Rhinolophus ferrumequinum: one gene and its partner. The protein of the gene in region 1 interacts with the protein of each later gene in a biochemical or structural test. Links are inferred from orthologs where the notes say so. Each region holds a gene or a part of one and is shown on either strand. Other genes may lie near its edges.

Evidence for each region.
Region 2: the proteins of TNFRSF8 (region 1) and TNFSF8 form a complex in vitro, tested with the Homo sapiens proteins (2 studies listed by BioGRID and IntAct). The link is inferred for Rhinolophus ferrumequinum from reciprocal best matches to the Homo sapiens genes TNFRSF8 and TNFSF8.

The regions. Positions count from the first base shown.
Region 1 is NC_046292.1:8,214,624-8,230,979, reverse strand, and holds the start of TNFRSF8 (tumor necrosis factor receptor superfamily member 8), read right to left. Parts: upstream 7,155-16,356; 5' UTR 7,105-7,154; intron 1-7,104. UniProt on the Homo sapiens protein: Receptor for TNFSF8/CD30L. May play a role in the regulation of cellular growth and transformation of activated lymphoblasts. Regulates gene expression through activation of NF-kappa-B.
Region 2 is NC_046295.1:66,486,070-66,501,818, forward strand, and holds the start of TNFSF8 (tumor necrosis factor ligand superfamily member 8), read right to left. Parts: upstream 8,572-15,749; 5' UTR 8,283-8,571; coding exon 8,088-8,282; intron 1-8,087.

The DNA of each region.
Region 1 (16,356 bases):
AAGAGTATGAAATAAGTTGTGGTCTAGATACACAATGGAATACTATTCGGCGATAAGAAAAGATGATATAGGAACATTTGTGACAACATGGATGGATCTTGAGAGTATGATGCTAAGCGAAATAAGTCAGACAGAAAAAGCAGAGAACCATATGATTTCACTGATATGTGGTATATAAACCAAAAACAACAAGAAAACAAGACAAACAAATGAGAAACAAAACTCATAAACACAGACAATAGTTTAGTGGTTACCAGAGGGTAAGGGGGGAGGAGGGTGGTAGATGAGGGTAAAGGGGATCAAATATATGGTGATGGAAGGAGAACTGACTCTGGGTGGTGAACACACAATGGGATTTATAGATGATGTAATGCAGAATTGTACACCTGAAATCTACGTAATTTTACTAACAATTGTCACCCCAATAAATTTAAAAAAAAATAAAATAAATTAAAAATCAAAATAAATAAAATAAAATAAAAGGTACAGAGCAAAGACATAAAAAAAAGAGTATGAAATAAAATACATAGGATTACAAAGGAACCCAGTTATGTTGGAACACAGATATTAAAGCATTAAACAAAATAATTTAACAGTAATATGTGTGATTTTTGTAAACTCATTCAACACGATCTAATAACTACCATACTTTAAAAGTCGTGATGAGGATAGAATGTTTCACAATACCTGCAGCAATTGTGATATAACTGTAATATAATATGAGACTATCTGATTTCTACCGATGGAGAAACTGCAAGGACTACTATTACTACTGTGCTTTTTTTGCCTTAATTCGTAATGGAAGGAATTCATAAAGGCAATTTTAGTTAGAGGCTGATGAAACTAAGTGCACTCATTCAGGCACACCGCCCCCATGAAATCTACCCTTGGACCCTGGGGAGCCCGTGAGCCCCTGCTCTAAAATCACATGCAAGTTCCTCTCAAAAATATTAGCTTGATGGCTGATACCCTCTAGTTCAGAACACTTCAATAGCTCCCCAGTGGTCTTAGAGGGATACATCTGATGCCATTACTCCTTGCCTAAAACTTTCAAAGGCTTCTTGTGACTGATAGAGGCCTAGGTCCTTACCATGGCTAATGAGGTTCTGCCCACCCGTATCCCCCTTGCTCTCTGATCCCTAACCATACGAGGGCTCCCTGTTCCCCAAAGGGCCATGCTCCCTTCTGCCCCCAGGGCCTTTGCACAAGCTGGGCCTCTGCCAGGAATGCTCCTTTCCCTTTTCCCCCAGTAATCTCCCACTCAGTCTTCACACCCTAGTGGAGACATCACTTCCTCAGCAACTTGATCAGGACCACTGTCATAAACCGTCAGAGACCTTGTACCTCACTCTCCTGTTGTAATTGCACAATTATTTGTGGGATAAATCGTCTGAGTGTCTGAATTCTCCCCGTGAATGTCAGCTCTTCCAGGATGGATCTTTCCATTTCTGCTCACCCTATCACTGGGCCTGGCACATATTTGATCAATACATGTTCTGCCAACCTAATCAATAGAGTCCTCAGCCTGGCACTGCCAGGCCGCACTTTGTCTCCAGACTCCTGGTCTGGTATTGTTGTGTATCACTCATTGCATACACTCTATGCTTCAGTCAACCTGGGCACATTGGTCTTTCCTCTGGTACCTCTCATGTATCCTGGAATGTTGTTATGGGTTGAATTATGTCACCCTCAAAAATATATGCTGAAGTCTTAACTCCTAGTATGTCAGAATGTGATTTTATTTGGAGATAGGGTCCTTACAGAGGTACAAGTTAAAATGAGGTCATTAGGGTGGGCCCTTATCCAATATGACTGGTGTCTTTATAAAAAAGGGGAAATTTGGACACAGAGACCGACATGCATACAGGGATATGGCCCCATGAAGATTGCAGTCAGGCGGCCACAAGCCAAGGAACTACCAGAAGGTAGGAGAGAGGCCAGAACCTTCCCTAGAGCCTTCAGAGGGAGCATGTCCCTGCCAGCGCATTGGTCTTGGACTTCTAGCCTCTGTAACTAAGAGACGATTAATTTCTGTAGCTTAAGACATTCAGTTTGTGGTACTTTGTTAATGGCAACCCTAGGAAACTAATACACATGTTCTTTGCCCAGACTAAAATGCTCCTCCATCTCCATGTGTACCCGCTGGGAGCCCTTCGCATCCAGCCAAGTCAGCCTTATGGAACTTTCCTGATCATCGGACGCCATCCAGATCCCCTTTCTGGGCCCTTTAAAATTGCCTCTCAGTGCCAGGGGCTGCCCTGGGCTGGACTTCAGAAACCCTCTTCTTCAGAAAATACATTCAAGGGCTCAGTGTGACTAATTTGGTTGCGGGATTGTTTTTTCACTTAACTCAGTTACTGAGCACCACCTTTATGCCAGAACTACTCCCATCGAGCTTACACTAGCCTGGGGAAGAGAGACAAGCAAGTCAAGAAAGAAATTAGCGGGCAGCCGGTTGGATCAGTGGTTAGAGCGAGGAGCTCATCACACCAAGGTCGCCGGTTCAATTCCCACATGTGCCAGTGAGCTGCGTCCTCCACAACTAGATTGAAACAACGACTTGACGTGGAGCTGATGGGTCCTGGAAAAACACACTGTTCCCCAATATTCCCCAATAAAAATAAAAATAGGAAAGAAATTAGTAAGTTGGTTCCCAATGTGGGTACAAACTGAAGAAAATAAAGCAGCTACGAGTAGGAAAGTCCACCCGGAATGGAGAGAGAGCTCTAGGGAGTGTGGGCTGATGGCCTCACTGAGTCCCAGGGGACTGAAGGCGGTGGCAGCTGCCCAGAGGCCTGGGGGAGAGCATTCCAGGCAGAGGGCGCTGCGAGTGCAAAGGCCACGAGGGGGGATGAAGCATGACTTGTGCAAAGAACAGAGAGGCCACGGGGGCTGGGGCAGAGGAAGCAGAAGAATTATGAGTGTTTTTCTCTTTTCTTCTTTTCCCATTTTCCACAGAGATCTCGCTCCCTGAGTATCACTTTCTTAATCACAAACCTTAAGAAAGGTTTCCAAGTTGTGGTGGGGCTCTTACAACTGGTTCCCAAGTGTCCCTCTGCCCTGCCCTGCCTCCAGCCATACTCTACTCCCAGTCTCTGATCAGCGCCTTACCCACTCCAGATGTTCTCAAATTTGTCGTAACATTCCTGTCACTGCCTCTTACCTCTGGCTCCGCATCGGGGCAGGCAGGCCACAGCTGCTTTGGCCCAGAAACTCCCCTCACGGAGCCTGAGCCCCAAGCCCTCCAGCCTCCCCTTCCCTGCTCCCCTTCATGCCCTGTCCCCGGCCTTGGCATATTCTAACCAGAGCAAACCCCCGCGCCACCTTGGCCTGGGACACTCCTGTTCATCCTTAGAACTCCTTTAGATGCCAACAGCTCAAGAAAACACCCCCTGAATGCTCCAACTAGGTTAGGCCCCCCAGGAATATGTCCCCACGGCTCCCAGCAGCACCGCCCCAGGTTCTAACAGCCTGTTGCAGCCGACACATTTGCTGAAGGGCTTCCCAGCCCACAGGCTGCCCTTCTTGATGAATTATTCCACCCCCTTCCCCAGCAGTAGTCCAGGACAGTCCTAGCCTTGGGGAACCAGAGCAGAGGTGGACATTGGGACTTATTTGAGCCGTCAGAGGCTTTCTTTTCGGCTTTGGAATTGGGGCTGAAAGATGTCTGTCAAGTGTCCCTCCTGTTGCCTGAAGGAGAACCACAGCCTGAGGAGGGAGTCAAACTTGGCCAAGGGCAGGTGGGCAGGGAAGGCCGCCTCCTCTTCCTCCCTCCTGCTCACAGCCCTTGGAGAAACCCTCAGTTCCTGGGACTACATGGGACACTCCCACCAGACCCCAAACCAACCATGGTCTCCGCCTGACACCAGGTCTGGGTAGGCCTTACACATCTGCAGGGAGACCCCTTCCTATGGGGAGTGAGAGAGGGTATCCAAGAAGTAGGGTGCAGAATAATGAGGGGTTTGTAGTCCCCGCATGGGCTCTTGTCTGATATGCTCTGTGGCCGCCCAAAGGCAATGCCTTGGGGGTCAATACAAATAAGACTGAAGCGTCTGGGGTTTCAAGTTAGACGGCCACGTTCAAATCCCCCCGCCCCCACCCTGAGCCACTTACTAGCACGTGACCATGGACAAACCCTGAACCCTGGCATGTTCAAGTTTCCTCTCTGGGTTTGCCATCTGGGTTCAGGCAGCTGATGTGTAGGTAAAGCGCTCAGCACCGTGGCTGACAGGAAGAATGCTCCATCATTGGTAATTGTGACGAAGCAGTGAGCGAGCTTCCTGTCACTGAGGGTGTGTAAGCAGAGGACCGAGGATCAGCTGTCAACGATGCTAGAAAGGGCCCTACGCTAGAAAGGGCCCTACCGGCCTGGGTGAGAGGAGGGATTCAAGACATCTAAACTCAGTCTCAAAGGTCTTCCCGTTTCCTTCCTCTACCAACCCGCCCCCGTGTGAACCCTGCCACACAGCTGAGCACTGATGATAGAGGGCGGGCAAAATGTCAGAAATTTCCCCAACAAACCGAGGAAGGGGTTTTTGTGGGTTTTTCGTTTTTCCTTTCTTGCCTGCCCAGAAGCACAAGGTCAATAAAACTCCACCAAAATGCCCCGCCCACCACAGCAGCATGAGGTGCTCAGCCACCCCTAGTCACCGGGCCTTGGGGAAGGCACATGGGGGGAAGGGGGTTCCCTCTTCCCAGTCATAGCATCTAAGCAGGGGAGGCTGCCACCAGGAAGTCTGTCTCTCAAGACCCCACCAAGCTGGGATCCAGGGGGCTGGGGGATGAGGAAGGAAGTGTCTGTCTTTCTCCCTGCAGCTGGGACTGTGGTTCTTATGGAAAGTCACATGAGGGCCACTGCACTCCGGAGCCCTGACTGCACTTGGCCTGGAGAGAAACAGTGTGCCACCAGCCGCATAGCACTGGGCGGGTGTGGGAAGGCTTTATGGAGGAAGGAGTGTTAGGACTGCAGCAGGCGGGGATGGTGGCGGAGGGCGTCCCAGGTGCCAACAGGCATGTACAGAGGCCCAGAGATTTGAAAGCACACAGTAGGTTCAGAGGACACCAAGCACAGCCGGTCCTGCAGAAAGACCAAGGAAGGAAAAGCTGGAAAGGTGACAAGTGACCTCACTATTAGAAGGAGGAATAAAAAATTGTTGGATGGATGGGTGGAAGTATAGACGGAAAGGGGGATTGCAGAGTGGTGCGTAGATGGGTGGGGATGGATGGGGAGACAGATGGGAGAGGGTTGGGTGGGGGAAAGGTGCTGTGGACTAAACTGTGTCCCCCACAAATTCATGTTTGAAGTCTTAACTCAATGTGACTGTGTTTGGAGACAGGGCTTTCAGGAAGTAATTAAGGTTAAATGAGGTCATAAGAGTGGAGCCCTGATCTGACAGGGTTGGCGGCCTTATAAGAAGAGGAAAAGAAATCTCTCTCTCTCTCTCTCTCTCTCTCTCTCCCTCCCACCACCCCTCCCTCCCTCCCTCCCTCTCTCTCTCTCCCATGAGAAGGTGCCTGTCTGAAAGCCAGAAAGAGATTTCTCACCAGAAACCAACCCTGGCAGCACCTTGATCTTGGGCTTGCAGCCTCCAGAACTGTGAGAAAATAAATGTCTGTTGTTGAAGCTGCCCAGTCTGAGGTATTTTGCTGTGGCAGCCTGAGCCACAGAGACACATGGATAGATGGATGGGGGATGGAGGACTGAAAGAACCGGAAAGGGAATGGGAGGGGGAGGAGGGGGGCCTGAGGAGCTGGGAGGAGGGCAGGGCAGATGAGTCAGTGACTGGGTGAAAGGACAGGCAGGTGAACAGGCAGGTACACAGGTGGGCATTGCTGGCCAGTTCGGCCCTGAAGTCCCAAATAAGCACAGGGACCCACCTGATAGACACTTCAGAATCAACACTCAACCCCAAAACAAAGGCGAGAAAGTCCAGCAAAGTTCTAGTTTTTTCCCTGTAATGACTACTGAATGAATAACTAATGAATCATTTTTAGGAATAGAAAATATCAAGTTCTTTCCCCAAATGTTTCTCTCGGTCCTTTGGTCGCCCGATCATGGCCTCGCTCAGCCCGCAGAGTGAAGCAGAGGCCACAGTTCTAAGAACAGACCGACTGGGGCTCCTGCCCTGCTCCAGCCACATACCCTTAGTAATCCTGGGCATCACAGCCTGTCACCACCCTCCAGACAGCAATGCTGGGAGCCTCAGAGGACCATAGGTGGGTACCCTCCCTGTCCTGAAGACCCCCGCCCACTTCCCGTGGCCTTCAGTCCTCAAAGCACGAGGCAGGTATGATGAACGGGTCACATCCAGTCCTCACACCCTCCAGGGGCCTAACTAACACCTTTCCTCCCCCTTCAGTCTTTGTTCCCGGAGGTCAGAGACCAGAGTTCAGCTTTATCTCAGGCCGCACCCAGGCAAGGCCACTGCACGCACCGCTGGACTTTGGATGACAGCCACCGAGGATGGCAATGCCTTGTGGCCCCCTTCCGTCGCTCACCTCCTCCAGCCTGAGCATCCCTGCAAAGTGGGAAGAACAAGGCACACCGCTGTTCCGGAAGGACTTCCAGATAACCTAGTCAGAGCCCATCACGGGGCAGGGGGTGGGTGACACTTCCCGGAAGCCAGCTCCGGCTGGCAAGACTGGTCCCCGAGAGAGCTACAGTCCAGGCAGCCCGGGAACAAACACATATTCTGGGCTGGAGAAGATGAGCACTGCAAAGGGTGTCCAGGCCCAGAAATGAGGGGCAGTCAGGAGTGTCCCTAGCCCAGGCTCTGGGGTCACAGAACCCTGAACTCCTGCCTCAGCCAGTTCTGCCGTTTCCCAGCTCTGTGACCTTGGGCAAGTGACTTAACCTTGCAGCATCCCAAAAGCCTCATCAGCAAAATGGGGACAATAAAGGATAATTGTGAGGCTCTGACGAGACGACGACACGCACTGAAGGTACATAGCACGTGTTTGATAAAGGGCAGCTACTGATTAAAAACAACAAGTCACAGAGGGATGGCCTTCATAACCTACAGTCAACGTGATGATGACGATGCTGGCTCCCGTGTTTCCCACTGCCCAATCCCCCCTTGTCCCCACCCCCAGCCCCTGACTCACCTGGGGGGCAGCGGTGATAGCACTTCCCAGCAGCCTTGTCATAGTAGCAGCCAGGGTCTCCAGGACTGGCATCCCTGGGGGCTCGACCCTGGAGAGTGGGACAAATTGGTGAGGGTGGGTGGGTCCCAGACACCCATCCTCCCTCCAGCCCCTCAGGTCCCAGGAGGCCGGGTCCCCACTCACCGCCAAGACCAGGTCTGAGAACAAGCCTCATTTTACAGAAGAGAAATCAGGACAAAACTCCTGAGTTCACATCTCCCTCGAACCCGCCCCAGCCCCCCATAACTCAGGCAAAAACTTTGGAGACCCCTGTCCCGCTCACATGCAACCCATCAGCAAGTTCTCCCAGCCTCTCTGGACCAGTATTTCCAGCTCCTGTGCCTGGTCCCAGCCCCATCCTCTCTCCCGTGGATTAATTCAGTTGCCTCCTACTTGGCCTCTGGCACAGGCCCGTAATACCAATTCGTGCTAAACTTGTTTGCTGGGTTTCAGTTTGGTACATGGTGTGAAGCAGGGTCAAGACTCACTTTCTTCAGGAATGTGCATTTTTAACAGCTCACCCATATGTTTCCAGGGCTCTGGGAAAGTTAAGCCTGTCTGTTACGGAGGGTTCAAGAGAGGAAAGGCTCTGCTGAGAACCTCAGGAAGGAGTGTTTGTCCTTCCTGGTCCATGAAAGGTGAGCATGAAGCAGGTTTCTGGGCAGACCTATGACTGGGGGCCCCAGGGAAGGGAGGGTGGGAGGGAGGGGAGGAGAGACGGAAGGAGGCAGCAGTGTCCCACTTCTATATCGCAGCCTCTGAGATGGTGGCCACTTGTGGGATGAACGGGGAGGGTCTTGGTTTGGCAGGGGAAAGCAGAACCCATTTACTGCCCGAGGGGAGAGGCCTGGCTGACCCAAGGGGCTTCTCTACTCTTCTCTGCACTCAAGGGAACAGTAACAATTAATAAAATTTTCTGCTATGGTCAGGGAGCAGCCAGGAGGCCAGTGTAGCTGAAAGGGAGATATTTGGAGTGTGGATTACGTTCTTCTTTTTATCTTTTTTGCACATCTGAAGTGTCACTGAATAAATCTGAGATAATAAGTATAGCCTGACAGCTGCACACCACCAGTCACATGGCATTGTCTTCACCCACATATACCCCGCCCCCTCCCCCCGAAGGAGCTCATTGTTCTCAAGTAAATCAGGGGTCTCCTGGGGGCCTCTCCAGGGGCAGAGGCCTGCCGGGACAATCCAAGGTTCTCCCTGACCCACAGCATCTCACCAAGTGAGCTCGGAAGCCTACTAGTGGGGTGGGCTGAGGGTGTAAATGTTCGGCCCTATTGGTTCTGCTGAGTGTGGGGAAAATTCTGGGTCCCTGGTCTGGGTTTTCCCCTCCTGACCTGCCTGCTCATCTCATTGATAGCTATGGACTCCCCAAGGCCTGGGGGACAGACGAGGGGTGCTTGGCTGCTTACCCTTCACCTTCTGACACCACACCCTACGTCAATGGAGGGTGGAAGGTGCAGAGAAAAAGAGGGAATCCCTGGTATTGTGTATCACGTACCCCTGAGTCACACATCTCCTCCTTTATGCCACCCCCAGCCCTTTGGGGCCAGATCACCACCCCGTTTATAGGTCAATGGTCTACTGACGTTGAATGTCTGAATTTGATAACTTGTTTATGTCAGATACCCTTGTTGTAGAAGAAACATGCTGAAATATTTAGGGGTCCAGGATCAAAACGTCTGCAACTAACTTGCAAATGGCACAGCAAAAGAAAATAGTAATAATAATAAGTGTATACACAGAGAGATAAATAAAGCTATTATACAAAACAACATGTGTACTAACTAACAGTGTCTCAGGAAGGAGACAGCAGCTTAAAACTAAATCTGTGTAAGTCCAAGGTTTGCCACCAGGGGGCGCTGTCTTCTTGCTGTCGGGAGGGGCGGTGGGTTCTCGGTCAGGATGTCCAGCTGTAGCCCATCAGAGCCCCACGAAGGAAGGGTAGAGGACTGGGGTCCTCCGTTCCCATGTGGGGCTTCTGGGGTAAAGGGATAGCCCCCATACTCCTGTGGAGGTGCTGGACCGCAGCTCTCCCAGCTATTCCCAGAGATGTAGATGGGGTGCAGGTCCGGGCCCAGCTCAGCCCCATCTCCCAACATCCACCCCAGATGCCCCCCGGGCCGCTATAGCTGGCCTTCTTTGACGGAGACAGTAAGGAATGTTTTTTTTGTTTGTTTGTTTGTTTTTACCTATGATGTCATCGTTTTACAAGCCCAGGAAATGGGGTCAATGCAATGCACACATGTTGTAGAAGTAACAACAGCTGTTATTGAACCCACAGCCTGTGAGACCCTATTCCCATGGAAACTGAAAAGTGAAAGACCTGCCCACGACCACACCTTGTGGCAGGGTCAGGATCTGAGTCCAGGTCAGCTGACTCTTGACCGTTATAAGAGTGCGTTAAGCACTGTCATGCAGGGTGTCACGCAGGGTCTCTGGTCCCGCTCCCCACATAAGAACGCAGGATATGGTGAGGCCAAAAAGGAACACCCACGGAGCCATAGATAGGGGAGTCAGACCACTATATTCTCACTGGCGGCTGGGTTGGAGACACAGGAAGCAGGAGCCACACGATCCGCAACCTGCCGTCCGTTTTTCTGCCAACCAACCTCACTTGCCAACTGCAATCCACCGTGCTAACTGCAATCTATGCCTCTCTGCAATCCACACTTGCTAGCTTTGCCACAGCAGTTATTTCAGTGGTTAATGGCTAACTGGTAACAGCTGATGGCCATCCGATCACAGTTGATGGCCATTTACTACCCGAGCCAGCACCTTTCCACATGAGGCCGAGAGCCTGGAAACTGCACTCCTGGCTCTGTCCCCACAAGCACCTACTGTGTGCCAGAGAGCTGAATGGGCCCCAGAACGCCCTCCAGGAGCTGTCACTCCAGTGGGGTAGACAACCCCACCTTCCCAGGGTATCCTTAGCCCATAAATAGAAAGAGAGGGCATGTGGGGACCTGAGCTTCACCCTTGCAACACTGCCTGTGGCCCCCAAAAACTAGCTGTCTCGTGGCCCAGGCACAGCCCTCACCCCTGGCCCAAGCACCGCTTTCCCTTTGCCATCTCTCCCACCTTTCCCACTGCCCTCCTCTTGCCCCCCACTACCCATTCACACAGGCCCTTCACCCACCGCAGCTCCTGGCAGAGAAGGTAGCCCCAGGATGTCTGACCTCCTGAATTTTGAAGGTCCTACCAATTCCCACTGGCCATAGGCCCAGGGCCTGGACAGCCCATCAGCTCCTGCTACCGCTGGGGAAGGGGAGACACAGCTGTGCTGTGCCCTGGCCATGGCCTGGGAGGGAAGAGGGGAGGCAGGGGAGAATGGGAAGGGGAAGCCCAAGGACTGGAAGGGGGGCTTTTGGGTGGGGTTCCCCCTGTAGGGTTTGAGGCAGAGCAAGGTGTCCACAGCGTGATGAGCTGTGCAACCAAAAGTCTGTGGCCCAACCTCAGTGGCATGAATCTATAAAGAGAGAGTGACCTGAAACCTTCCCATTTCTAGGCCTCTCTGTTTTCAGGTTGGTTTGGTTTTCCCTGTAAAACCTGGTAAATTTCACTTTCAAAATGTCCCTCCTGGTGTCAGCTGCGTAGCACAACAGGAGCTGGGACACACCTGTAGGAGCTGGGAGTCTAGAGCTGGGGCATAAGGGGAAGGATGGGGGTGGAAGAGTCAGATCAAATACCCAAAGGGGCCAGAGCTGGGCAGAGCTAGGAGGTACACCCCAACTCCACCCCAGGGGTTCCCCACCTCTATTACTCAGGGTGAGGTGCCTAGGCCAGAGGCACTGTCACCACTTGGGAACTTCCTCAAAATGCAGAATCCCAGGCCCATCCTAGACTTAGTCTCTATTCCATTTTACAGATGGGGAAACTGAGGCACATGGCGGTTAAGAAACCTGCCTAAAGTCACACTGCTGGACAGTGTTAGAGCCGGGATTTGGCCTGAGCCATTTTGCACAGGCTCTTACCCACAGGCCTCTGTGTTACTAGTCCTGTTTGCTTAACCTCCAGTTCTACCCTCAAACCCACCAGCTCTTCGTCACCTCCCCACCATCTGGACTTGACAATGGTCGTCCAAGCGTCTCCTCACATCCACGCCATTCCATCCCCTGTACCCCACTCACAGTACAGACGCCAGAGGGATCTTTTCAAAACAGACCTGGTCTCCTCCCCTGCACCCTATTGAAGACGCTCAGATGGCTTCAACCCAGCTGTGGATAAAGCTCAAAGTCCTGACAGTGGCACAAAAGGCCCTGGCCTGCTGGCCGGGCTCATCTGGCCTGTGCATCCTCTGGCACCTTCTCTCCCCCCGGCCTTCCCCCATCCCTCCCTCCCTCCCCCACCCAGCAGCCTTGTGCATGCGGTCCTCCAAGCCCCCATGCCCCTCGCACAGTACACCCCACTCTTGCACGCCACTTCCTTAGAGAAACCGTCCCTGAATACCCCCACCCGCTCAGGTCTCATTGGGCTAAAATCAAGGTGTGGGCAGCGTTGGGTCCTTGCTGGAGAATCCACTTCCTTGTGGTTAAGACTGAGGTCCCCTCTTTGCTGACTGTCAACTGAGGCCATTCCCAGGTTCTCGAGGCTGTACCATTGCTTGGTGCGTGGCCTTTTTCCTCCATCTGCCAAGCCTGCACCAGTGGGTCGAGTCCTGTCACAGCTCTCTCTTCTTCCATATCATCTTTCTCTAACACAGCCAGGAAAGGTTTTCCACTTTTAAGGATTCCATAAGGACAGTCCAGCCTCATCGCCGCATCTCAAGTTCCCTTAATCGCATCTACAAAGAACCCTTTTCCGTGTAACGTGACATATTCACAGGTTCCAGGCATTAGGATGTGGATATTTTAAGGGGACATTATTCTGCTAATCACAGCCGAGCTCTTAAGTAACCACTAGGCTGGGCTTTGTCATCTAGTCCTAGGGGGATCTGAACCCTGCTCTCCACCCCAAGGGCTCATCTGAGCTCCAGACCAAGAGACCCCCTAAAATTGGAGTCATCTTCCTCCCGACCTTAAACACACCCACAGGCACACAGTCTGTTCCTGCCTGTACACAGGTGGCCTTCTTCACGGCTGTCATACCTGTGTGCAGGAGCCAGGTCAAGCTTACCCCCAGTTCCCACCTTTGGTCTCCAGGAAGCTGAGGGGGACTATTCATGGCTCCTTGTAGCTGGAACTAAAACCCAAAGACAATAGACACAAAAACAGCCATAGAAGATGGAGCCTGGAACCCCTGGCAGGAAGAACCCCCAGCAACAGGTGAGCACCTTCTTGGAGATGGAATTTACAAGAAAAATAGCCATTCTCACTGAGAATCTGCCATGTGGGAGGGAAGAAGGAAATGAGAAGGAGTCTGTGGTCAGCAGAATGGTGCCCCTCCAAAGATGTCCCCATCCCTAGGACCTATACCTGGGTCACCTTACATGACAAAGGGGAATTAAGGTTGTTGATGGAATTAAGGTTGCTAATCAGTGACCTTGAGATGGGGAGGTGATCCTGGATTATTTGGAGTGGTCCCCATGTCATCACAAAAGTCCTTAAAAGTGCAAGAAAGAGATAGAAGAGTCAGAGAGTCAGAGAAAGACATGTGACGATGACAGAAGCACCTGGCATAAAGATAGAGGAAGGGGTCACGAGCTAAGGAATGCAGATGACCACTAGCAGCTGGAAAGGGAGGGAATGGATTTTCCCTCCAGAGCCTCCAGAGAGGAACACAGCCCTGGCCACACCTTGACTCTAGCCTAGTGACAAGCATTTGGGACTTATGAACGGAAAGATTGTAATTTGTGTTGTTTTAAGCTACTGAGGTGTGGTAATGACAGCCACACCAGGCAACTAAAACAGGGCCTCAACTGAGAGGACAAAGAATAAACCCAAGTCCCCCCCCACCCACCATGGACTCACTGGAGGCCCAGCAGGACCCAGGCACTGGACCCGTCGCTGGTGGCGACAAAGAGGCCGACTCTAGACAGTTCCATTTGGTGATGTCTTCTCCCAGAAGAGACACATAGGAGACACTAAATAGCGATCCACAGAATGGACACAGGAAGGGAACCTCAGCGATGAGATCAGAAAAACCCACGAATCTCTAACGCGAAGCAGAATAATGTAAGTGTCATGAGATACACAGAGACAAAGAACTTGGGGGATTCGTGATGGATTCCTGCAGGAGCAGTTCCATTGATTCTTGCAGGATGGCTAAGATCTCGACAGGAGGAAGTGAGGGGAGAGCATCTAGACAGCAGGCCCCACAGCAGCCAGGGACAGAGGCAGGAAAGAACTGAGCTGCCGGGTCACTCAGTAGTCAGATGGGCTGGACAGTGGGAGCAGAAGGAGATGGGCCCAGGACTCAGGGCCAGACCGTCTGCCCTTAATTGTCATTTCCCACAGAGTGTTCCTTCAAAGGCTGGTTCTGCGGGACATCACCAGGCGACAAGCAAAATACAAAGAATCACCATCTAAAATGAAAACCATCTGAGAGGTTTTCATTTTAAATCGTAGGACCTCTCAGATCCTTGTATGTGTTTCCTTGCCCTCTGTCTGATTCTCTGAGGAAAGGTTGGGAGGCAGACAGACAAAAAGTTTCCCAAACTTATTTGGCCATAGAACCCTTTCCTCATGGAACTGCTACTTCCTGGAAGTGACTTTGCAAAATGTTGCCCTTGAGATGGGAACCCACAAATGGCTGTAGAGCCTAAGACAGGGGCTGGGTGGGATGGAGGCACATAAGTCGACGTGACCAAGGTCTGGCCTTGAGTCCAAACCCTGCAACTACTTACTCCCCACTTCCCACTGATGCCCTTCCAGCCCTAGAGAAGCTCTGGTGTGGCTTCGTGAGCCAGTTGTTCAGATTACAGTCTTCATGAAAGTCCTAGGGCGGCATCAAGTGCCTGAGCCTGGGTGCCTTCTCCCTCACCGACCCAGGTGGAGGTGAGGACAGGCCCATGTGTGTGGGCTCCTACGGGCCTGAGACAGTTCTCCACACTGCTGGTTACCCTGTCCTGTGTCCCTCTTCCCACGCTTCTGCCCTGGAAGAAAAACCCTGTGAGTGGTTCACCTTCATCCTGTACCCACAATGCCTAGCAGACAAGTACTTAACAGCTTACGTTTACACAGCACTTGCTATATACCAAGAGCTGTTCTCAGCACTTTTCACATCTTAACCCGTAAAATCTTTCCCGTAGCCCTACAAAGAAACGACTGTGATTACCCCCATTCTATGGATGGGGAAACCAAGGCACAGAGAAGTGACTTAGCGTGCCTGAGAACACCCGTGTCACAAGAGGGTATAAACTTGGCAAGATGACCGAAAAGCCCATACCCTTTGACCATCAAGCTCTACTATCCCCCCATACAGGACTTGACAAAGGCAGCGGGCCAGATCAAGCAAGATGAAATGTGTGGTAGAATAAAGGCGCCAAATATGTCCAGTGCCGAGCCCTGAGCTTGTGACTACGTTCCCTTACATGGCGAAAGAGGCTATACGGATGTGACTCAGTTTAGGATTTTGAGATGAGGTTATTCTGGATTATCTGTGTGGGCCCCAGTGTCATCACAGGGGACCTTAGAAGAGGGGGGCAGGCGGGGCAGTGTCAGAAAAGATATGACAACGGAAGCCAAGGTCAGCGTGGTTGGGGGCCCCGGGACAAGGAATGCAGGCCGCCTCCAGAAGCCAGAAAAGGCAGGAAACGTATTTCTCCTAAAACATCCAGAAGGAACGCAACCCTGTTGACCTGTTTTAAACTTCTGATCTCTAGAACTATCAGATAATACATTTGTGTTATCCTAAGCCACCAAATTTGTGATACTTTGTTACAGCCACAAGAGAAAGCTAACAGGATAAACGGAAGATGCTACTTTGGGGGCCAAGAAAATATGGAGTGTTGGGCTGTGTGAATGGAAGTTCGTGGGCTCCAGCCACAGAGGAGGTGATGTGCTCCGCTCTGGCCCAGATGACACCAGGAGTTCTGCAGTCGCCTCTGGTACCAGAGACCCACATCGGGGGCCCAAACTCTGCAGAGGACACTCAACCCTCACTGGACACTCGACCGTGGGGAAAAACAGACCTCGTGCTTTTCTCGAAAACACCTCTTCTCCCCAGGCCCAGTTTTCCTGCCTCCATAACCGACATCACTGTTCAGATATGGAACCCCCGCACCTGGACAGGATTCCAGCTGTCCTCTTGCCTTGTGCCCTCACTCCCAGGCCATGGGCAGGCCCTGTGGATCCAGCTCCGAAGGATATTCCTGGCTCCTTCTCTGGGACACAGCACTAGCCTGTCTTCCTGCCCCCCTCCTGCCCGCTCCCCTGCCCTCCCCCACCCCAGGAGACGGAGAGAACTTTAAAGCAGGTCATGTGATATCACTCACCATCCAAACCAGTCCACAAAGGTCTGTGTTATTCCTTACTTCCCCACCACCATTTCCACCACACCATACGTCACCCCTTCCTCTCCAGCCACACCGGGCTCCTTCCTGTTCCTCCAGCCTTGCTCTTTTGCTCACGTCCCATGGACAGGCTCCCTCCTTGCATTCCTGTACATGTCACCACCCCTCAGAGGACATCGTCTTTTCCCCACCTGGGGTGACCACCCACATCTCTCACGCTACGTGGTTGCACTCCTCTCCACGGTAATTTGCACCAGTCTGTCCACGTGGGGATGTCAGTTCCACGAGGCAGAGACTGGCTGTGCTGTTCATGGATGTCTCTGCAACGTCCAGAACACTCCCAGGCATGCAGTTGGTGCTTGATAAATGTTTGTGGGATGAATGGATTGGTAAGAACGGACTTCGAGTCTATGCCACGATGGAGGGCCTGGGTGGTGTGATTGGCAAGGAGACCCCCGGGGACCCAAGGTCACAGCCTTTGTATCACTAGGAGGCATTTCCAAGGAGGGTGGATACGACTTGCTTATGCAGCCCCAGCTTCCAGAACCAGGACCGATGGGGAGAAGCTTTGTGGAGCTAGATTTCAGCGCCTCATAAAGACTGTCTGAATGTCGGAGCTAACCCAGGATAGCATGTCACCAGAGGCCTACAAGCAGAGGCTGAGTGATTACCTGGAACAGCTTGGAACAAAGCCCCTGGAGCTGTGCACGGAAATCCTTTAAGATTTTCTCAGTGAGTGAATAAATGCAAGAATGAATAAACTAATATTTGGATGAATGTCCCCAAAGATCTAGGCACTCTGAGTAATTAGACTG
Region 2 (15,749 bases), on another chromosome or scaffold:
GCCAGGAGCGTATACAGCATGGAGATGCTGGACAGAGGGATGATTCACACCCTGGCAGGACAGAGCAGGATGGAGCAGGTTGGTGCAAGATTTCATTGCACAGCCCAGAGTGGTATGCAATTTAAAACTTATGAATTGTTTATTTCTGGAATTATCCATTACACATTTTTGGACCACGGTTGACTGCAGGTCACTGAAACCAAGGAAAGCGATACTGCAGATAAGGTGGGGACAGGGTGGACTGCTGTACTCCCCCTGCACTGGTTAAAATGCAAATTCTGACTGGGCAAGTTTGGGTGGAGCCCAGGAGTCTGCATTTCTAACAAGCTCCCAGGTAATGCTGATGCCCCTGGCCCCCAGCACACACTGGGGCAAGTAGCAAGGGTGTAAGAGAGAACATCTTCGAGGAAGAACTAATTTATTTGGGAGTCTAAAGAAGCCTGTCTGTGATTTGACAGCTTTCTGGTTTCCTAACTTCAAAACCAAAGCATCTTAGTATAGGAAAGAGTCCTGGTGTTTAAACCATCACCCAGGGCCCAGGGCATCCAGGACAGAAGTGTGACTATTCCTGTTCTGAAGAGCTGCTGGGACAAGGTCTCCCAGCTTCCCTGGCTGACCATGGTAGACAAGATTGGAAAATTAGAGCCAGAGAGGAACCTTTCAGTTCCTGAATCTTTCAGTCCATCAGGCTAATTTTACAGAAGAGGAAAACAAGACACCCATGAGTCAGTGGCAGATGCTGGGGTGAAGTTCTCTGGTGCTCTTTCCACGTCCCCAGAAGGAACGGCTATCTTCATTCAGAAGCCAAGGATAGGAAAGCTCATTCTTCTCTTCTCTCCCCTCCCATGAGCAGTCCTTACATTTGGAAATGGGAAACCGGGGTACAAAGAGATAATGACTTTTAAGGGTTGCTGAGGACTGTTTATACTCTAGGCACTATGCTAAGTGCTGTCCATCAACTTCTCTTTGGCAGGTACCTCCCAATCCTAGAATTCTCTCCCAAACCTTGCCTGCGGATCTGGGTCCTGGCTGGGGAAATGTGAGCCAACTGGCTCAGTGACTTGGCTTTGAAGTGAAAAGTACATTGGCTGGACACAGACACAAGTAAATGGACCCTCCCAGGTTGTCCTTCTCAGCTCCATTGGGTAGCTCAGGAAACTTCATCACCATGGTTACCAACCAGCTACACTTCCTTCATGTGTTTGTTCTTTTGGTTCAGACTCTGGGTTTCTGTGTGTGGAGGGAGGAACTGTCACTGCTTGTCCCCAAGTGAAATGACCTGATCACAATCATCTTCCCTCTCTAGGACTCTGTTTTTTCATTTCCTTTAATCATTGTTATTGCAGAGCTAGCAATTCTTTCCTCCATTGTGGACATAAGACATTAACATAAAATGTTAGCGAGTCCTTGAAAATGGTACCATATTTTGGCTACTCTCTTGATCCTAATGATATGTTTAATTTGCCTCAATATCCTAAAAGGCTATTTCCTTTCACAGAGCAATGCTATGCAGGGATAATCAGCTCCCAAATTTGCTATGGACAGAAGATGCCCTCTCTCATTAAAAATGGCCAAAAGCAACTAATGTTTGGGCTATGCCAGGGGGATTTCACATCCCCTTCCTTGCTGGCCTCATATTGTCTTATACAGTGGGCCACAGAGATCGTTGCTAGGAACGCGTCTCTTATTTTCTAGTTAACATGATTAAGCGCTTAACGAGTGTGCTCAATCCCCCCGTGCTAAATGCATTTCCCCGAGAGTTAGTGATTGACTAAGGCTCAGAGAAGTGACTTAATGATTGTGGAATCTCACCGATGGTAAACAGCAGGGAAAGGATTCAAACTCAGGTGTGTTGACTTGGGTGGAAGGCATGCCACGTCGCCTCTCTAGGGTGGGTCAGGATGAAGCGGGGGCAGAAAATTCTCCTGAGACTCTGAGCAAAGTGGAAGGAGGTCATAGAAAATTCCTAGGAGGAAGATGGTTTTTGTTGGCAGTCTTTGTCTTGGTATGGCTAGTGAATGTGAGAATTGGAGTAAAGTGGCTTAAAGCCGTGCTTCTCCCACTGTGGGATCTTCTTAAAATGCTGAGTCTGAATCAGTGGGTCTGGGACGGGCCTTTAGGTTTTGCATTTCTAATGAGACGGTGCCAGTGCTGCAAGGCCACTGACCACACTTTGAATAGCAAGACATTACTCAGGCCTTTCTTTACCAAGGAACGGGGAATGGCAGTTGGAAGACGAGTGTGGGACTGGGCTCAGACATGGGTTTGGAAATCTTCCTCGTCCGCTGATGGAAGTGGCGTCCTATCCTCTCACCTTCCTCTGCCAATGCTTTTTGCCACCTAGCTCTATTTCCTGCTGTTCCCCTGTGCCATCGGGAGTGACCACTGTTCTGACTCTGCCATTCCTCTCCTCACACCTGGGCTTGCCTCTCCTGGAATGTCCTGCCCCAACTCTACCCGCCACCATACATCCAATGGAGACAAGTGTGGAAAGACTGGGCAGAATTAGGCAATCATTCTTCTTCTACCCTCTCTATTAGCTGATTCAGACGAGGGTCATCAAGGAGAGGCAAAACCCCTGAAGGAAGGATATTTCTATGTCTTCAGCGTATGACCCCATTTCATAAGAGCACGGAAAAAAAAAGTGTTTTAGAAAAGAGATAGCCAGTGGTCACCACCTTTAATCAAGTGATCAAACATTATCATCGTAATGGGACAACCTGGCCTGTGGCTGTAGCTGTGCTGCAATAAGAAATATATAACATTATCTAAGTACTATTCTTGCCAAAAATATTTTGTCTACATATAATCATGACTGAATCTTAAGACAAATCCAAAACATGAACTAGTCAACAACAGAACTAGCCCGGACCCTTCAAAAAATCAATGTCATGAAAAACAGACACCAAAGGGCGGAGAAAATTGTTAAGATCATTGCTTCTCAAGCTTTTACGTGCATACAGATCACCCAGAGACCTTATTAAAAGGCAGATTTTGATTCAGTGGGTTTAGAGTGGGGCTTGAGATTCTGCATTTTTAACAAGCTCCCAGGACCACCCTTAAATAGCAATGTTCTGGGTGAAAACAGACATAACCAAGTGCAGTGTGTGACCTGAGAGGGGATTCTGAATTCCCAAACCAAACAAGGCACAATAGATGTAGAAGATATTTTTAGACAAGTGGGGAAGTTAAAATATGGACTGCATATCATTAAGAGATGATATTACTAAATTAACATTAACCCTTTTGGCTATGATGATGTCATTTCAGTAAGAAGGAGATGGGGGCTGAAATACATGTAAGTGAAAGGTCACACTGTATACAACTTACTTTCATATGTAGAGAGAGAGCACAAATACAGCAAAATATTAACACTGCAAATTTAGGAGAAAGGTTATATGAGTATTCACCGTTCTACTGTACTATAGGCTTGAAAACGTTTCAAAATAAAACTTTGGGCATAAGACATGATCCTTCTAATTCTAGAAGGAGGCTCAGCTTCTATCCTAGCTCTTCTTATTCCAAGCAGAAACTGTCTTCCTTTCTTCTGGTCTGTGACATTCTGGGTCATTCTGCCCTGAACTCAGGCTCTTGAATATTAGGTCCTCATCTCCGCAACCTAGAGAATTCCCAGAAAACAGCAGTCCTGCCCTGGTCACTTAGTCCTTCCATTACAAAGCCCAGCACAAATCCTGACCGAGATTTTCAGAGGATTTTTTGATTGATAAATCAAATGCATTGAAGAGCGTAACTTGGATAGAGGGAAGCATTACGGGGCATCACATCTTACCCCTATGTATTATCTGAACTTCAAAGCAAACCAAAAAACCATACCACCACCAGCACCACCAATCATGACCCTCAAGCAGGTATTCAGCTCCACTCTTGGTGAAGAGGTAGAGTGGTACTTGTAAGGATACATTGTTTTGAAGAAGAAAGTTTCTTTGCTTATAAAGAGAAAGGAGACAGTTGCTTTCTCTTTTTTCCAGAAAGAGTCTCCTTGAAAACCTAATGATCCTGAGCCTTATTGCTTTGTTCTAACCTTTTTGAAAAGATCTCTCCAGGGGCTGGATTAGCCCAGTCTCCAGGTTTATAACAGAGATGTCCCTAAGACTGAAGACCTCAGAGCCCCTTAAAATGTAAACACTTCTGGGGTCAACCTCACAGCCTACCTCCTTATCTAACCCGTTGTCTCTGGAGGAGATGGAAACCTTAATCATTTTCCCTTTTGTTTTGCTGTATAAATTGTGTGAAATTTCATTCTGACATATATGTGTCTACTCTCAATAAATCAATTTTTTTTTTTCCATATTGAGGTGAAGAAGTGTCTCTTTTTTGGTAGCACTTTTACTTTCTCAAGAGGACAATCTCTTTGGAAGCTGAGTGACAATATTTATTGAAGTGAAAAATAGAAAAATATATATTCTATTCCCACCACTAGGAATTTATCCCACAGATATAGCCACAGATGTGCACAGCAAGCAAAATTCTAGACAAAAACACAAGTGTCCTTCACTAGGCACAGATAAAATAAATTATGAAGCAGTCATACAATAGAATACTATGCAACTCCTCGTAAGAATGAGCTGGATTTCTATGTGTTGACATGGAAAGAGCTCCAACGTGTACTGTCAAGTCAGTAAAGTAAGGCGCAAAATTATGAGTTTACTATAATGACATGTGTGTATTATATATTTGTAGATACACAGATATTTTGGAAGGACAAGGCAGAATCTGTTCATGGTGGTTATCACAGAAAAGAGAGATTGGTGGTTAGGTGGGGAACAGGTAAGAGATTTTTACTTTTCTTTCTTTTCCCTTGTTTCCTGTTTACTTTTCTTAAACCATGTCAACATCATGTTTCATAATAAATGTGCTGGTTTAAATGTAAACAAAATGAAATACATCCATCTCAGTGGCTGAGAAACGTTACCAGACTACTATTCCCCAAGCGACATGAAAGCAGGACTTTTGTGGGCTTTGTTCTAGGCTATATCCCCATTGCTTAGAACAACATCCTGCACACAGTAGGTGCTCAATAAACATCTGAGACTGAGATCTAAGCTCCTTCTTTGTCTCTCACCCAAGGAGTGACATTGGAGTTATTTGATCTTCAGGCCAAGTCTCAAAGCAATCTTTGTTGATGTTCCTACATGCCTTACATCTTCTCTTCTCCAGCCCTTTGCTCATGCTGTTCTGTTGGCCAGGCGTACCCTCTCCTCTGATCTCCTTTTCCACCTGTTTAAAATCATACATACTGGGGGTGCCAAAAAAAAGTATTCACATGACTTGTATTCATCTTTCTTTACTGGTATATTCTGAGTATCACAATTTTAATACAGTGTTTTTCCTTTCTTAAAATGTGTATACATTTTTTTGGCACCCTCTGTATTTCTCAAGTCAACATGAACCTCCAATCTCCTGTGAAGTTTTTCTCAAGCCTGCCTGGAAAACTGTTCTGTCTGCGTAACTCAGGGTCTCATGGTAGCACTGGGTGCCCAGCTTCCATCACTTCTTATATGTTGTGACTTACTTTGTTTTAGTTTTGCCTGTACATGTGTCTTCCTACCGACAACTGTGACTTCTTAGGCCAGTACCACCATTCTCGTGGTTCTCCACCCCGCCCCTGTCCAATGTCACACATAGAGAGCGATGTGGCCATCAATCCACTCCATTTTTAATAATTGGGATGTGGGTTTAAATTCCTTGGGTTTTTTTTTGCCAGAGGTCCTGTTAGTATCTGTTCATTTGTCTCAGTTCAACCTATCTTAAAGTCAGCTTGCATTCCCTCTTCCTTCAGGAAGCCTTCCCTGATGGCTTGAGCTCAAGGGGATAACTCTCTTATCTCTTACGACAGTTAATATCTGGCCAATGTATCAGAAATGACACGTGTAAAACATTGAATACTTAATATCACAATGCTTAAGTAACTGATAATTCTCAGGCTAAGCAATCACAGCACACCAAACTATACAATCAGACTGTGAAGTGAAACTTTTCATATCCAAACATGAGGGCCAAGTCAAGGAAACGGATGTGCAAGAAGACGAAGCTCCTGAGAGAAGGCTGCGAACAAAGTGTCTCAGTGCTCCTGCGCCTGTCTGTCTTGGAAAGGGGAATGCTCTTCTCATTAAACCGTCATGCAGTCTTGACTTGACCCCTTTTACAGGGTGACTTCATTCAAGCCCTGTGTCCTTTCTGATCCTCATTTCCCACATCTGTGAAAATGAGGCAGAAAGATCCAGCCCATTTCCCTCATGAAAAGAATCAATTCAACTAAAATTGGGATTTGGATAAGAGCCATCCTGGAGCTCTCTCTAGCTTCATGTCACCATCACCCCGTTGCCCCCATCATCTTATTTCCCTTTCTTCCTTTCTCTGTTTTTCTTCCTTTCTCTCTCTTTCTCTCCCCCCACCCCCAGTGCTAGAGGCAATCTTTAACTAAAAACCTTCTTAATGCAACTTCAATTTCTTTTTTTTGGCTGTTGCTATAAAATGATATGCCTCTGGTTTATATCAGATTAGAATTACTGAAATTATAGGGCCTCTAAAGAAAAAGGCCCTAAAATGTTTTCAAGAGTATTATTCTTAGTAGATGTAGATAAGGACATTAAGTGATAAGTTTCATAAATTCTACCTAAATCAAATGTTCGCGGTTCTGTTTTCTTTCACTTCTATGGAGATTTGAGCCCCAAAGCTTCATTTAAATTTCAAAGCTTGCAGACACTGAGAAAAGATACCAAAGGCTTTTAAAGCCCGTTTTCTTTTTCGCTTTTGCTTTTTTCAGTCATCCCTAAGTTATAGAACATTCAGCCTAAAACAAGGTGTCCAAACTGCGGCCCGCGGGCCAACTGCGGCCCGCAATCCATTGTTAATTGGCCCGCAGCAAATTCCAAAAATATATTTAGTTTACTTAAAGAAACCAGGTGAGGCAATACGTACTTCACCTCGAGTGAGTGGCCCGGCTGTTTGTGTATTTTACCGCAGATGGCCCTTGGTGAAAAACGTTGAAAAAAGTTTGGACACCCCTGGCCTCAAACAACTGAAGGACAGATTCTGTAGGATTGTAATACCATGAAAAACGAGCTACGAAGGAATAAACAACCGTTCTCACATTGGTAGAGTGGAGAGGGAGTACAGTTCTTAAATTATCAAAATTAACAAAAGCTTTACTTCATTAGAAAAAATCATCTGTGAGCAATATATACTCTCAGTACAGTATTTTCTGTAATAATACTGGTAGATTCTCTGTAAACACCAATTTCCTAAAATCGGAAGCAGCGTCTTCCTTCATCTCTTCTGTTTGTACCAACTAATCTTACCATTTGCTTCAAACAAAGTACATCTCCTGAGACAGTTTGACGCTACAGCGTGTACCCGTAATTGCTTGCAGTTTTTGTATTGCGAGCAGCCTCAGAGGGGACAGGTGTTAAAAACATTTCTGTGTTCTTCTGCCTCTAGGCTCTGTTTCTTGTGACGCCCTATACTCTTCAAAGCAGTGACTCAGAAGGAAGCTTTCAATTTGTCTTGTGGGCTTTAACACCAAAATGTCCAAAGCTCTAAGCAGCCCTGGTCTTCTCTCTTGCCTCCTTCCCTTACAGACCCTTGGCCTCTGAAACTTAGCTCCTTGTTAAAAAAGCTCTTGGTAATGGATGAGGCCTAAGAAATCTCAGGAACATTTCCATTGAGAATATAGGACCTTGAAATCTGGTCTGAAAATGTTGAAGATGTGATAACAAGTTGTGCAAATATGTTACAAAGTTTCCCTACTGCTTCCTTCTTTGCTTCAAGTCTCTGGCTCAGCAAGATTTAAACCTTAATTTCTCAAAGCTAATAGCTCTTCTGCCCTCTTTTGGCTCATGTGAGTCTGGAAAGTTTTGAGATGATGGATAGCTCAACAAATTTGCCTCTCAAAAATCCAAAATATTTCAGAGAGTTGAGTTCCCGTTTCTTTTCTCCCTTTCTCTATATGATATATGTACTTTTTCCCCCGTCAACTAATTTATTAGTTTATCCCCAAGGCTGTCTCTCTGGGGAAAACTGAACATAAATCAGAAAGGAAAGGCGGCAAAGAGAAGTTGACTTACCGTCTTCTGAACTACCAACACCATAATGGTTGCCACGGCAAAGACGAGACACAGAGCCAGCGTGGCCATGGTGAAATAGAAGTAACTGCGGCTAGTGGTTCCCAGGTGGTTGGTGACAGAGCCCGCTGGCACATGCATGGCTGTGTCTTGAGCAGGGGCCACTCGGTTGAATGCTTGCTGAAGCCCTGGGTCCATTCTTATATAGTCTTCCCCACATCACACCTTATCTCTCATCTAATTCGGTTCTGGGCCCATCTCGGTTCCAAGAAGGATTCTCCCCTGCATCCTGGATCATGTGACTTGGAAAAAAACCTTCACCGGCTGCCTCGCGAAGAAACTCTTCTCTGGGGGCGTGAGGAGAAAGGCGGCTGCAGGGGTGGGGGAGAGGCTCATTTTTCGTTGCCAGGGATTAATTTGAGTGCAGAGAAACTGTAGCTACAGAGAAGGTGGCTGATGTCAGAGGGCGAGTAGGAAAATGACGGTTTCCCTAATCTGGTGTGTGTGTGAGTGTGTGTGTGTGAGTGTGTGTGTGTGTGTGTGTGCACAGAGTGACTTCTGTTTCGTTTAGACTTAGCCACAAAACGCCTTCCTGCTTCAGAAGTTGCTCATTCTCTTCAGGGAGGCCTGCGGCTCAGAAGACCTTATCAGAAAATGTCTCTTTGCTGGACCTTGGATTGCAGTAGAATGACTCAAAGTCATTCAGTGTGACAATGTCAGCTCCTGCTGAAAACTGGAAATGCTACCAGATTCTGGGAAGGAAGAGCCCACAAATATGGCGACGTATCCAAACGGGGATGAGCTCATCGCTGTATGAGATCTGGGAACAGGCACAGAGAGGCTGGAAACACTGATCCTTTGAACAAAATTTTCTGCAGAGTGTATCGGGATCTGTTCAACTTGCAGATAAACCCAGGCCTGTCATAAAACTCACAAAAAGGGGAAGGAATTGGCAGGGAGGGTTGGGGGTGGGGAAGTGGTCTGGTGCAGAATGTGGGGTGTTGTGTGTGCTCTGTGTGGTGTGTGCACGTGCTGCGTGTGGGTGGTTGCTGTGTAGAATGTGCGGTATGCATTTGTGATGTGTGGTGCATGTTGTAGGTATACGTATGTATTGTGTATTGTGTGTGGTGTGTGTGTGTGTGTGTGTTACTGTGACAGTGGAACCTCTGCTAACTCGGGCACAGTGCTAGGAGGTTCACACATTGCCTCACTCCTCCCTCACCTCCCCCTCTAAGGCAGATAATATTTCTTTTTTTACCAGATAGGAAATTGGAGGATCCCAGAGAATGAAAACTGTCTCAAGCAAAGTCACAAATGTTGATCAGTGAGCTAACTTGGGTGCATAGCCATACCTGACTGGCCCCCAAGAATGCTAAATCATTCACCCGTCCCTGCACTTAAAAGCTGGAAACCTGAGGTCCAGCCTCAGCCCCGCCTCTTGCTGGCCTTGGCTCCCTGCACAAATCCGTATGGCTCTCTCTTTTCCTCACGTGCGTTCACAGCCACCGTGAAGATCAAATGGGATAGTGATGTACGAGTACATTGTGAATGGGAGTAAACTTGGCAGTGGTGTCGGGCCATCCTGGTTAAATGTCCGAAGTGGTCCCCGTGGCTCAGTCTGGAATTTAGATAGATTTAAGAAATAGATTCTCTGGGGGTCATTGTGGGGGTGGCGGAGCTGGTCACATCTGTGCTTATGAATGGACTCCATTTAAATTGGGAATCATTGCAGAGCTGGTGCCTCGGGGTGTAGCTCCTTAAAGATTTCATTTGGAAGTACCCGATTCTTTGCAGCACCCCTGCCCTTTTTACTCACTTTTTGGCTACAGTATATCCTTGAGAACCAACAGGAACTGGGGATCCTCCTGAGGAAATGTCCTGTGTCCAAAGCCAAACTAGGATGATGCCCAGATCCCATACTGCTGAGTATCATCCGAGTTAGGTCAGACTCTAGGAATTGGTCTGGATATTCCTTCCCAGTAAATCCATAAAATCATAGATTGCAGATATGGAAGAGACATCAAGAAGTAAATTGTCTTCTTAGGCTAAATAGAGTGGTATGCTGTGTGCCTATTTTACAGTCGAGGAAGCTGAGGCCCCCTTGATCCCAAGTTGGGACCCTCCCCCCTTTATACACCACTGTATAAGTTTCAGGTGTACGGTGTGATGGCGTCCTTGTTGTTTCTCAGTATGGTGGAGCGATTACCACAATAGGTTCAGCTAACATCTGGGCTCGGTTTTGGAAGAAGCGGGTACACATACTCATTGGGTCTGGTAATTGGGGGGAATGAAGCAGGCCAGTATATTTTTGGCACGTGTACCTGGCTGATTTGGGGAGACGGCTGTGTCCTGTGGGGCGCATGGGCAGTGAGTGGGTAGCAGGGGGCTCTGTAATCTGCCCAGAGCTGCTGAGAATAGGCTGCTCCCTCGGCTTCTCTCTTCAGTCTCTTTGATGAAAGTGGAAAACTTCTGATTGTTGAATGGAAGCTGTGGGTGTTGAAAAATAAAAAGGCTTTGCTTGAAGTGCAGGTCTTCCTGAAGCCCCGCGGGGCTGAGAAGGGCAGTGGAAAAAAAGGTTTGTCTTACAGTTACCCGTTTTGCATACAGTACAATGTCCTGGGAGGGAAGGCTGACATGGGGGAAAATCAACCTTTGTGTTTACTCAGAACCTTCTGAGCAGTTGAGATTTTCATATCAGTTTGCTTTTCTAGCAGCCTGTGGGCCTGATTTCACTTCTCTCCCGGTGGCACTCATCCACTCACATTGGTCTAAACTTCTCCCTGTTGCCAAGCTGTTCTAGAAGCGAGTCTGGTCAACCTAGCTGCCCCATCCATTGTGCTAGCTGGCTTTTTTTCTCCTTTCTGTTCAGCCACCCAACGTACAAATGGAAAAAGCCTTTACAAAATTTCTTGTTGAGTGATTGTCAAATGCTTTCTGTAAGTGAAAAATTTAAAAAGCAGAGCTTCTCTGGCAAAAGCAGATGGGACAGAGAAGAGTGGAGCCTGGGCTGTTCACTGTACCTTTCAATGGCCTGGGGTCTCTCCAAGATGGAACAAAATTTGGAAACTTGCGATTTAGCTCAAAACCTTCCTTGCTCACATCAGGAAACTAGAAACCCCCCAAATGGAAATGACTTGTGGGAGTTCACATGGGGAAGGTAGAGACAAGCTTACAAGTGCCTTGTACTTATCTTCATCCCCTCTGCTAAGATTCCAGGCACACCCAGGCTTCTTTATATGTTCTTCTCACCGTTCCCCTGCTGGGTCCTTCTTGCTCTGCAGGTCCCTGCCAGCCTGCCTGAGCTCCTCCAGGAAAGTCTGTACAGACTGCTCAAGCTCACCAATATCTTCTCTCCAGAATCCTCTATCTCATGCCACCTAACCTTGCATGTGATTATCTACTCATTGTCTTGACGAATGACTGTCAAGTGTGTGAATTTTGCCATCCCCAAAGTCAGAGAGTCCCGGAGGGCAGTCTACACTTTCCTGGTCTTCTTTTCAATCCTGGCCTTCCACTCTGCATTACTTGGCACTGGACACTAGGGTATTACTGGCACTAGGTATGATTAACCCTCAGTCAATGCTTGTGTTGACTTCATGTTTGTGGAAAAAGGAAAGTTCTAGAAGGGTGGCTTATACAAAGAAATTGTGCAGTGGCATATTTGCCTCTTAGTTCTCAACTGTCCCTCCACCTCCCTGTCCTTCTATAGATGGCTCACCTGGCTGCCCATCGGCTTTTATGTTCCAGGATGGCTCCATCATGGAGAGTGCACACCAGCCTCCTTTCAGGCTACAATTAGTAGTGAGGTGTGGCTGCAGCATCTGAGACTCAGTGGGCAAAGAACTAATTTCTTATCTCTTCAAGAAGGAGCCTCATTTTCAAAAAGAGGCACCAGCTCTGGACCACCAACCCCACCTGCCCCACCAGTGCTTCCCCATACAAGGGACTGTGAGAACTCCAATCATATATACTAGTGGTTCCCATAATGCGGTTCCTGGACCAATAGCAGCATAACTTGGTGGCACAGAAAATTCTTGGGCTCCACTCGAGACCTACTGACTTAAAACACAGATTGCTGGACCCCAGCCTGAGTTTTTGAAACTCAGGCTGGGGTCCAGCAATCTGTGTTTTAACAAGCACCCCAGAGAGTTCTGATTCCTGAAACCATTTGGAAATCATGAGTTTAAGGAAATAACCGAAGTTCCAGAACAAACCTCCAAGGGATTATAATCCAGACTGTGGCCTTTGGGCAGGTGAACTCCTAACCCTATTGTGTAGGTGAGAAAACTGAGGCCGAGAGAAGTTATTGCCCAGGGTCAGGTAGCGGGGAATGTTGGCATGAAGACTCGTTTTTTTCTGTCCCTTGATTGAACCCTCTTTTTAACCTCAAATACGACTGTAGGCTATAAAAATACTATTGCTTAGGCAGATGGAGATTTTCTGTAATATTTATTTAAAGTTTTCTTGTGGTGATCATCGTATGTGGTAAAAAGAAATATTTTTTAAAGCTATTGATATATGTGGGAGAAGGACAAACTCCTCCCAGGGTGTTTTCAAGCAATACAACATGCAATGAAACTGCCTACTGAGGAGGGAGCGTCCTGTCCCATTAACTGGAGAACGTTCTGTTTTGCTGGGGCTAACTTGCAATGATTGGATATTGGAGTTGGCCAGAATGACACTTCACTGAGAGGATGCTGTGAGGACAAAAAACAGGGGAAGGTTTAGAGCCGGGTCAGCAAACTATGGTTATGGGCCAAATCTGACCTGTCACCTATTTTATACATAAAGCTTTATTGAAACAGTCATGTCCCTTTATTTACGCATAATCTATGGCTGAGTTTGCATTATGACCACAGAATTGAGTAGTTGTGACAGAGACCTCATGGCCCACCAGGTCTAAAATATTACTATTTAGCCCTTTACAGAAAAAGTTTGCTGCCCCCTGATTTATAGTATTAAAATGAACTCAAGGCAGGATAACCAAAGAAGGGATTTGGAAACTAGAACAGAAATGTATTTCCTAAGAGTCCTCTATAAAATCTTCATTTGTGTTTATATTGATAACTCATGCTTTCCTATGAGGAGATTCTTTTTTGGAGCTAATTGTAGAGGAGCTAGATGTCCTGAAAGGTGCATGACAAAAGTAGACTACTGGAGAGGACACAAGAGCTGAGAGAGGTGTGGCAGAAGACATCTGGGAAATATTGTATAGAAAGGTTTACTTTCCGTATTGGATATATGTGTTTGTGTTTATAAATAATAAGTTATACACATATACATATATGAATATATGAAACATATATGAATAGATATACATAAACATGAATATATACATATACATATATACACATACATATTTACATACATACTTACATATACATGTTATTTCGGCCCACTTTAAAAATGTTTTGAGGCAACTTAAATAAATGCACAGATATATAAGATCTGAAGCCACTAAAACAAAACAAAAGGTAGGAGCCAAGATATAAAGGTAGAGAGAAAGTGAATCGATTAAGAAACCCGGGTTGATGACAGTTTCAGCAGCTGAGCACAACATGTATACCTCTGAGCTTCCTGGTAACCAAGGCAAAGAAGAAAACACATTGGGTTGCATAACCCTCTTTGATCGTGAGAAGCAGATGAGTTCAAAAGGAGAAATGGACCCTTTGCTGGTAGTACAGGTGCTTTGAAATATATAACATATTCTGAAATAGTAGATGGTTGTAATCTATGAATTTAAAGCATGCCATTGCAATGAATTAGGATAAGCACTAATTTTAAGAAGTGAAAATACTGAAATATTTGAAAGGAAATGTAGTTTTATGATTTTCAATGATCCAGAATGAATGATAAACAAATACCAGGTAAGTGGGAGATTCAAAAAAAGAAATAGAGCATCCCTTTCCTGGCCTCCATGGAGGCCTTCTCCTTCCAGTAGAAATGAAGGACTGGAAAACTCTTTAACTTAGATGGAGTTCCGTAAGAACTCCATTGTCATTCAAAGAAGAGAGATGAGTCTGCACTTTTTGCAAAGCTGAGGCTAGGTCCTATGTATTAATAAAAATACATATGGGAAGAGACAGGATACTATTTTCATTGGGCATTTGAGAGCTTACTATGTGTTGTACACTGTTAATATAACAGACATCATTTCTACCTTCATGAAGCTTATAATTGGGTAAGTGAGATGGGCAATTCAAAATGTAATTATAACATAATGTGATTGATATTAATAACAGACATTCAGGGCATTATATGTATTCAGAGGGAAAACTCAAGCCCATCTATTATTTTCTAGGGGGCTTCCTTCAGGCAAACTTTTTAACCTCTATACTAAGTGAATGGGTAAAAATCCACACAGACTCTAGTAGGGTGTTTCACTCCCTTCCTCTTCCCTTTTATAATGTTTCAGCATCTCCTGTTGCCTGTGGAATCTGGTCATTATTTCCTTGCATGTCCTCCCCGGTCTTCCCCTAAAAGCTTCTTTTTTAGCCTCTTATGCCCCTAAAACCCCACTTCCACTCCAGGTGTACTGTTTATTCAGATCTTGGTCCCTGCTAATCCCCTCCATTTGGGGGGCAAGCAGTACCCTTGCCAAAACGTGAAATGTCCTAATTCAACACTTTTTTTTAGTTGCTGTTCAAATACTGTCTCTTCTCTGAGCTTCAACTCCCAACTTCCAGTAAGAATTACAGCCCTTTTTTCTTTGCCGTGTTTTGCAGCATCTTTTTACCTGCAGTCAACAACGATGAGAGTAGTAATTATTTTTATGATTACAACCATCACCTACATTTAGGGAGGTCATATTGTGTACCAAGCACATTATATTCATAATTTCACTTGCTTTTTATAATTACCCCATGAGTGCTATTATTCCCGTTTAGCAGATAAGGAAACTGAGGCTTGCTAGCTGCCAAATGACTTTTCCAAGGTCTTGGTGCTTTTTGGTGAGGAGCTGGCATTCTGACACAGGTCTAACTGCAGAGCAAGTTGCTGTAACCATTCTGCAATCATATTACCTGTGTTCTAGGTGGCTACCTAGGGCTCTGTCTCCCCAACTTTACTGTAAGCACCTTGAGAACACAGCATGTTCCTGGAGCAAATGACTTGCATGTATCCACACCTAGCACATTCCCAATAAATGTTTAAATTGTACATTTCCCTAAAAAATCTATCTAAATACATATATTGGGGAAAATACCATTTGTTTTACGATACTTTTTTTTTAATTGTCATAAATGAAGTTTAAACATGAGCCTGTCCCAGAGAAGAGATCCCAGGACTGATTCCCTCTCCATCCCTCCCCTCTTGTTGCCTTCCAACCTCCAGATTTCTGTTTCTCTCCCTACTCCAGCCCTCGCCTCTAAGTATATAGGCACATAAGTCCTGAAATAGAAGCAGATAGAAACTGTGACACATAGGTGTCTAAGGAAATTGGTGTCTTCTTATAATGGTGCTTGAAACATAACTGATGGGCCAAATATTAGATGAACAAATGTCATCTGCAGAAAAGGAGAGAAAGAGATAGAGAGATAGAAATAGAGATAGAGAGAGGAGGGGAAGGGAAAGGAAGGGAGCGGAGGGAAGAGGAAAAGAGAGAAATTTAAATGGTTCATTTTTCAGATTGTGCTAGATTTATGGGCCGTACTGAGGGTGGAGGTT